2 separate regions of the Mus musculus genome follow, and region 2 is reported to be linked to region 1. Evidence: microRNA targets listed by miRTarBase, many of them from high-throughput screens and not tested one by one. Region 1 holds a microRNA gene; the other region holds the end of a gene's coding sequence.

Region 1 (4,383 bases):
TCCTTGGCCACAGCAAGAAAGCTTCCATGACCTTAATGTCACTTGGGGGTCCACTAGGCAGTTTGGGATGTGTGAACACAGCTGCTCTACCAGAGGAAGCCAAAATCAAAAGCATTTTGATTACCGGCACACTCAAATAGAATTGGGAGTGGGGCACGTGGAAACCAGGCTAGAACAAGCATCCCTGGGTGGTGGGCATGCCGGGAAGCTCTAGAGAAGGGGATGTGGGTACCTGGCCCTGGCTAGAAAGAAGGCCTCCAGCTAGGGCGAAGGAGGCAGACTGCAGCTGAAATGAGACTGAGTCTCGCTCGGCTCAGGGACGCAGCGCAGGCTCTGCACAGTACACAGGTTCTTGTGTCAGCAGGCTTTTCCTGGCCTGGGAATGCTCAGTTATAGATGCAAGCCCCTCCCTCTCCTTCACTTCAGGGTCTCCTACTGCAGGGGTCTGATTAGAGACCTCCCCATCTCCCCCGCTGCAGGGCCCTCTTCCCTGCCTGTTGGCTGCTTTCTGCCATTTCTGAGTAGACCTAGGTGGGAGCTTGTTGTGTGTGTCGCCCTCACGCCCGTGATTCAGGTGGCAGGGGCTGACTCTGTCCTTGCTCTTGGACCAGGAGCTTCACTGATGGCCGAGTTGGGCTTCCCACTTAAACTTGTGCCAGAGCTGCTGGGACCAGTTCCTGTGATCTGCAGGCAAAGGGACGGAAGTTTTATCTTCTGGAGCCAGCCCCTCAGCCTAGTCAAGGAAATCTGCACCCTGTTCAAGCTCCTGGGGTCTGTCTGCTCCTGTGTTGGAACTGGGGACATGTGAGATAGCAGTGGGAGAGGTTAGACCTAGAAAACCCATGGGACCTTCATAACCTTGTTGGTGGGGCCAGTCAGCCTGAGTCAGGTGAGCTGAGGCCAGAGAGCCAAGAAAACCGATGTATAGTCGGGGACTCACAGCCTAGAGGCCTTGTGGTCTGTGCTGGAGTCTGTGAGAAAGTTAATTCTCTGGGCAGCCTGAGGTCAAGACTTAGGCTTTAGCCTGTGTTTAACCCCCAAGTAAGTGACACAGGGTGTTTCTGCCGTGACTGCAGAAGGACCTGTGGCCTGGACAGAGCCTGGGCTTGGTGGCGGTGACAACATCACCTCTGGGGATTCGTGTGTCCTGTGGCAGCTGGTGATGGCCCAGTCTCCTGTTTCTCAGGGATACATCAGATCTGCTGCTCACTTCCGCCATTCAGGTCACTGAGGAGGCAGGGTGCCGCATCTGTCATCTTTGTCTTTTTCAAGCATGGGGCTTAAGTGACATTTTGTGCATTTGAAAAGTCATATCTAGAAGGGGATCCCTAGGTGGGTGTGACCCTTGCCTTGGCACCAAGGTGGTGAGAGCACAGCTGTGCAGAGCTGGACGGGGTGGCCACTATCCCTGTCCTCCAGGAGCTCACGTATGCCTGCCTGTGAGCGCCTCGGCGACAGAGCCGGTGTCCACCCCTGCACTGTCCACAGACCCTTGCCTGCAGACCAGGGTGCTCAGTCGCTGGCTGTTCATGCTGTACCTTCTTGAACTCGATTGTGCAGATCTGCAGGTTGTTCCGTGGATGGAGGGGACTCTGGTTTCTCTGTGCGGTGACGCAAGGCACTGACCCCTCTGGGGTCCTAATCATCTTAACCTACGCAGACACTGAGGGGGAGGGGAGAGGAGCCAGGAGGGAGCCTTCCAGGTCTCTCCCTCTGTGTGTGTCCTCTGTAGCACCAGTTGATTCTACTGCGTGTGACCTATGTCCTGGCAGTTGGTGTCCCTGGGTCACTTCTACATCCACTGTGTTTCAGTAATTACCTCCAAATAAAAAGCTTCCTTTAAAACAAACTCTCTCCCCTCTCTTCATTATGTTGTTGTGCTTTTGCTTTGTCTTCTGGAAATCTTGCTACCGAGTGAGTGCATAGCCGGGCAGCAGTCTGCTGAGGTCTGTGAACCGGAATGGGCTCTCAAGGTCGAACACCTCTGTGGGACCCTGGACTCGGGCTGGCTCCAACTGAATGGAGGAGGGCTGATTCTGGGCTGGGGAATGAGAACAGAGTCCACTGGCCTTGGCACCCAGCTCGTCAGCCTCAGCAGGCTTCGTGGTCTCCCCCCACAAACATCGCTGTCACTTGTAGGCCATTCCCAATGTCTGGGGAACAGGTATAGGGGTGGTAGGGACCAGAGACCATGCCCCAGCCTTGGAGGCACCACCTGGGTATGTGATAGACAGGCCAGGTGCTGGGCTCCATCGACCATCTGCTGTGCCCTTGGGACTCTGTCCTGTGTGAAGCGGGTCAAATGACTGGATTCCCTGCCACTCAGCTGCGCCCCCAGTACAGCTGCTCTGGTCACATGATGGGGTGGGGACAACAGAGGGTCCTTCTACCCTCACCTGTGTTCATCCTTACACCTGACTCAGTCATTCCAAGAAAGAAGGTCCTACAGAGCTGTGTGTCTGGCACTGGCTACCAGGGCCTCTACTGCCAAGGTCTACAACTAACCTTTGAGGGGTTTTTGTTTATGTTTGAGACAGACTTGCTAAGCTCAAGCTAGCCTTGGACTTTCAATCCTCAGGACATATTCACCAACCTCCTCCACAATTCCAAGAACGTTTGAACAAGATGTTTTTGAGCCCAGTGGATGCTCAAAAACGCTGGGCATTGACTGCCTCCCCAGGACAGCACAAATCCCTATTAAGAGAATATCCCCAGTCATACTGCCCCAGCACAGGTGATGCCCTGGCCAGGGCCAGCAGCTCCTTCTAGCTGTGTGGAGAAGGAGAACATCTCTCTGCCCTGTGAACTTCATTGGGGAAGGACAGTGGGCCCTTGCCCTTCCTCCTACACAGAAGGCCTCTTTTACCCCCATGGGACCCAAGGGAGGGGCAGTGGTGGGGTGCTTGAAGCTGCGGTTTGCTGCAGCACCCACCTTTGTGTGCCTCCTCAGCGCCTGAGGCTTCAAAAACAGTAAGGTTCAACCAGGGCTTCCTGATTAAACCTGGGGAACAAACAAGAGAAGCAGGCCCACGCAGTTGCCCTGGTTCAAGGTTGGTCCTGGGTTTACACACAGCCTGGTGAGGGCAAGGGAGAAAGTGCCGCCTGGAGTCTTTGAGCTGGCAGAAAACACCCACTCACCAGGATGCCCCTGCTTACAGATGGTAGAGTTAAGCCTCCTCACCAGCAACAGGCACAAGCAGGCCAGACTCCCCTTACCAGTGTGGCTCAGAATGCCTGGCCAGGACTCTTCTCAACATCCAGAACTCAGGGAGCCTGAGGCAAGATTGCCCCTAAGGGGACGCTAGCTAGCCTGGGCTTTATAATTCCAGGTCAGCTTACCAGCTAACCTACACACACACACACACACACAGGCTGTGCCCTGTCATGGACACCAGGCAGTCTTGAATTTAGCTACCAAGGCTGTTGGGAGATGGTCCAGTTTTCTTCTCAATCTCCAGAGTCACCCAGCAAGCCTTGCCTGTTAGCATGGGACAGAGGCTGCCTGCTCCGCCAGCCCTGGATCAGTGCAAACCATGAGTGGTGATGGAGATGTGGGTGGAGGAACCCTCAGGGTGTGCCATTTGGGAGACTGCTGATGCTGCACTGGCCCCAAAGTGTCAGCCTTCCTTGGCTTTGGTAGGGACAGCAAAGAGCTGAGCCCACCATCCATACAAGGACCCTCCGTGGGTGCAGCATTCGCTCAGGCCAGTGTGCATGTTTTATATGCATGCCTGAATGAGCATTACATATGTACCCAGAGTTCAGAAGAGGACTTTGGGCCCTCTGGAGCTACAATTACAAATGATTGAGAGCTACCATGTGGGTGCTGAGAACCAAACCCAGGTCCTCTGTAAGAGCAACAAGTGCTCTAACCCACCGAGCCATCTCCACCCAGCATGTGTGTGCCACACCCTACCTCTCTTTTAAAAAAGAGCTGGAAAAGAGGGCAGCTCTAATCCCGGGACTCCAGAGGCTACAGAGACAGGAGAAGTGCCAGCCTGGGCCACGTACCAAGTTCCTCTTTGAAAACCAGGGGGCTGGAAAGATGGGGGTCTCAGTTTAGAGCACTTGTCCCTCTTCCAGAGGATCCAGTCTCAACACCAGTACCCATGTGACCAAACCATCCCGTTCTCCAATAACTCCAGTTTCAGGGGACCTGACACCCACTTCTGACATCAGAGGGTACCAGGCACACACATGCGTGTACATATATGTGGGCAGAACATCTATGCACATAAGTAAATATTTTAAAAAGTAACAACAACAACGACAAAAAAGAAACAGGAGGTGGAGAGACGGCTGTCAGTCCAGCGCTTGCCCGACAAGCAGGAGGACCGGGGTCAGATCCCATGAGAGCCCCCTGAAAGCTGACTGTGGCGGTGT
Region 2 (4,383 bases), not on the chromosome of region 1:
GGCATCCTCGGGCACTCCAGGGACATTTTAAAGAAGCACCCACAACAATAAAGGTCTCTGTGTTTTCTGAAGCTCCTGAGGGCTTTAAACTAGCTGAGAACCATTGTTTTTGTTTTTGTAGTTCATGCCGGCAGCTGCTGCTATGCATGGGGCTTACATCTCCCAGTACCCAGCTGTGCCTTCTTCCAGTGTTTCTGCTGAGGTAGGAGCTTTTTCGGTTCGTTTTGTTTTGTTTTGCAGTGAGGCCAGGACACATCAAGGGCAGATCTCTGAACTGTGTACTCCTCTCTCGGTACTGCCTACCGCCGGCATCCTCACTGGTGGTTGTGAGGAGAGCAGGAGGCGGCTTCATTGGTGTTTAGCCAGCCTGCTCTGTTCAATTTAGACAGGGATGCTGACTTCAGCTGCCTCAATACTCTGAAAATGAGCAAATGCTGAAGTATTTTCCAAGGTAGCTGGACCACTTTGCCCGCTTTCTGGCAGTCTGGATGTTGGATGCACACATGCGTTGGGGGCGGTGTGTGTGTGTGTGGCTGAATTGGGGAGGCTTTAGTGGGAGGTGCGTGTAGGAATGCTTCAGTAACTTTCCTTGGCTGTGATACAGGAGAGCAATGGCCAGCAGAATCAACTGGCAGTGGAGCCCCCCTCAGACCACGGGGTCTATCCTTTCCAGTTCAGCAAATAATGAGGTAAGAACTTTATGGTGGGGAATGCTGCTATGCTATGCTGAACTGGAAGATGGTGCTTGCAGCTTTGTTCTGCCAATAGCCAGACAGGTTAATTAATAGTCGTGTCCTCTTCGTATCGTCTCCAGCTAATGCCTCCTTTAGGATTCTTTCCCCCCATCTTTGTTAAACAGAAAGGAACTCTTGGAGATGCTCACAGACTCCAGAAGGTTTAGCAAGTTACAAGCCTAGCTGTAGCCTGCTGAGCACTAACACCTGGCTGTCATTCCCTCACAGGTCCAGACCTGGGGAGAGAAGCCTATGCAGTCCTCCTTGGGCTCCTTCCTGTGGCTGATGGAACCTGAGGAATCACGTTGGTTTTTTTTTTTGAATGTGCTACATTCAAGATCAAAAAGACTTTTTTTTCTTTTGCAAAAGAAGTTTCTTGCTTTGTATTTAATTGCAGCGAACCTTTCTCCTACCCCAAAGACACCAGTTGAGGTGCTTCTCATCTTCGAGAGGTTTGGGTATGTTGGGCTTTTAAAATGGTTTAAGAACAATCGCAGTGCTGTGAAGTCAGTGAAGGGGCGCTGCTTGCCAGGTTCAGTTAGGGACTATTTTCAATGTGTGTTTTAGATATGCAGGCTTAAAACTTTTGTTTTGCAAAGCTCTCAACACACACTTTGCACACACCCACCCACCTCCCTCCCACGCACTGTTTAAGGCAGGGTCTCACAGTGCAGTCCTGGCTGGCTGACAATGTAGACCAGGCTGGCTTTGAACTCAGCGATCCTTCCCACTCTGTCTGAGTGCACCGCCATGCCTAGCTAGTTGTTTTTTTTTTTTTGGTTTTTTTTTTTTCAAGACAGGGTTTCTCTGTGTAGCCCTGGCTGTCCTGGCGCTCACTTTGTAGACCAAGCTAGCCTCGAACTTAGAAATCCACCTGCCTCTGCCTCCCAAGTGCTGGGATTAAAGGCGTGCGCCACCACCGCCCGGCTAGTTGTTTTTTAAAACTTCTCCACAATGGTCTTTTTTTCTTTTCCATTTAGCTTAGCCTGCCTACTTTGCCTTTTTACAATTTTTAATTTTATGAATTTGATTTAAATTTCATGTGGAATTGGGGGAAGGGAGAGCAACGCACAGGTAGAGAAGTGTGGCAGTAGAGGTTGCTTTCCCTCTGCCCTCCTGGCCTAGGAGGGGTTAGACTTTGACTTCAGGAAGCAGACATGTGACAACCATGCAGCCTTTGGAAACCACCTTCAACCAACTCTGGTGGCAAGTGCCACTGAGAAGTGGCATCCAGCTTCAGCATCCTGGATACCTGCTCTGCCTCCTGGAGGGTCTTGGGTCTTCATCCTGCCCCAGGTCTCACAGCCCCTGCCCCTGCTGAGCAAGTTCTGCCTTCCACTTTACCAGGAGGTTGTTTTGTCCCCGAGAGGCTGCTGTCTTGTCCATCATCATCCTTGATTACCAAGCCTGGGGAGTATCATGTGTGCTGGTCCTGAACACCTGACAGAACCTGGCCCCACTCCTCCACCCCTTATTCCCTGGCAGTTATTTGGTGTAGACTAAACCCCAGTCCAGCCTTGGACATGGAGCCTGTTAGTTCATGTACTTGGCCAGCAGTGACATCTGTGACTTTGCCTCCTGGAGGATCTTTTCTGCCTGGGTTCTCACAGCCTCTCATCCCAGCTGCACATGGCTGTACTCAAGTGGTACTTGGCTGAATCACTTAATTCAGCAGGAGCCATCTTATTTAGCAGGGCTCACCCTTGGTTGTATGTACATGCCAAGTGCACACAGTTTGAAGGGATGAAAGCAAGAACTGTTGTGTATACTGTGCATGCTTGAGAATGGACTGAGCTTTCTCTATGCAGCATACCCAGCCCAGCCCTGGTGTTTGGACCCCTTCCCCAGGGAACCAGACCACCAGAAATAATTTTCCTTCTTGTGGAAGGACGACGGGGTGCTAGGATAGAAAAAGGCAAGACTCACAGCTCCCTGGCCACTCAAAGGTCAGGAGGGACTTGTAAACATGCCTGCCGTTAACTATTCCCTTCTGCAAGACTTTCAGCACAAAATGTGACTTGTTACATCACATCCCTTCACGTCATAAGTACACCTCCAGTAGACAAAGCAATGGAGATGGGGAAGTGTGTCCAGAGGTCAGTGTGAAAGAGGAAGGGCAGGGCATGGTGATGGTGAGAAACTGGCTCAGCAGCTGTGCACACTACAGAATTGGGAATCCTGGCCTGACTGTGCTGCTGTGCGTTCTAGACTGAGGAAGGGGCTGAGGACAATGGACAGCATAAAGTACAAAATGACCAGTTTTCTCATTGGTGCTTCCAACATCAGGAAGGTCATACCCAGTTATCGACCTCTAGCCCTCTAGCACTCAGTGACAGACTCAGAGCTCTGTCCTGTGGAAACCCTGCTGACAGTCTTGCTGCCACTGCTGCTCCTTCACTGCCTATTAAAAATTGTTCCTTTTTCTGTAGTTCTAAAGCAATTTGAATAACTGACAGTTTTAAAATTTGAAATTACCTTTTTAGGTTTTTCTTTTGAGTATACTGGTTAGGGTTCTAGTGTTTCTGGTTGAACAGGTGTGAGCATGGGAAATGAGGGCAACCTGTAATTTTGTTTTTATAGTGGTTAATGGCACTCACTGTGTAATTTCTGCTTAGTGATTTCCATCCACTCTTTTCCTCATTAGCTCATTACTCAGAAAGGTAGCGACTGAAGACAGGAAGTAGTATGCAAGCCATGAGGGATGAGTTGTAAGCCTCCTCTCCATCATCCTGCCCAAGGCTCCTAACAGTCTCCTGAGTCCTGTTTGCATGGAGGCCAGATAGATGGCTCTGCACTCTATATCTCACCTGTACTCATTTTAGTACATTGTGGTTTTGCTTCCAATCAATCAGAGTGGACTAGAGCTCACACCTGACCTCGTGTGACTCTTCACTAGGCTCCAGGCCTATCCCATCTCATTGGGTCAGACTGTAGATGGACTGGACTTTTGGAGACAGGTCCTGCTATTACTTAGGAATATGTGGGAACAATGATAGGGACCAAGCTTGTGAAGCAAAACGGCTTTGGAAAGGGCAAGTGCTCAATAATAAAAAATGGGGTGGAAGTGAAGCGTTATTTGCTGAGGGTTTCGGAAGGACTAGTTTGTTTTTGTCCCTGGCCCTTCCGGTCAAGTGGGCACCTCCCATTTTGTCGCCAAGAGCAATACAGTTGAGTAGGTGGTAGACCCAAACTCACCCAGCCATTTCTAGACCTGAATTCAGAGGATAAGGTGAGTCTAGAGGTATATACAACCAATGCTTGTTAGACCAATTCTTACCAATTCGGAGCAAGCCGGTGGCTCTACTTCTGGGTAACCTGCCTCTTAAAAGTGCCTTTGATCCCAGTAGTAGATTCAGGGTCTACAGGAGCCTTCCCTCAGCAGCTAAAACCAATTTGTCTCCTCTACTCTTTGCTGCACCTCCCGGAGGTGGTCTCCATGTGGCAGTGATGCCCTCATCACCCTTGTGACCACCGCTCTGAATGTTCAAAATAAGCATTTCCTGTCCAAGCAAATCCCTAAACTCCCTCGTCCTCATTACTCAACTACCTCAGTCTGACAACTCAAGGCACACAAGCACCTACTTGCCTCCCACCATCCTTTACTGCCCTTGTCTTTGTGGGGTTGGAACAAATGCAAACTCCTCAGTTC

What was found. The annotated mature microRNA mmu-miR-339-3p reads UGAGCGCCUCGGCGACAGAGCCG and lies in region 1 at 1,441-1,463, shown strand. An mRNA with a match to its seed (bases 2 to 7 or 8) in the 3' UTR can be bound and repressed. Matches are read on the target gene's strand: a 7mer-m8 pairs with bases 2 to 8, a 7mer-A1 pairs with bases 2 to 7 and ends in A, and an 8mer does both.
Region 2: the mRNA of Rbms2 is a reported target of mmu-miR-339-3p. Seed matches in the 3' UTR shown: 8mer at 1,563-1,570.

What each region holds. Positions count from the first base shown.
Region 1 is chr5:139,366,753-139,371,135 of GRCm38, reverse strand. Mir339 (microRNA 339) reads left to right here and starts at 1,391; the gene lies at 1,391-1,486. All of the region lies in intron 2 of 3110082I17Rik (RIKEN cDNA 3110082I17 gene), which reads left to right.
Region 2 is chr10:128,129,947-128,134,329 of GRCm38, reverse strand. It overlaps Rbms2 (RNA binding motif, single stranded interacting protein 2), which reads left to right. Exons shown (of 13, transcript NM_019711.2): 11 at 122-202; 12 at 605-689; 13 at 963-4,383. The coding sequence ends at 685. Among named protein-coding and RNA genes, the nearest start is that of Gm51821, 6.6 kb to the right of the region's middle.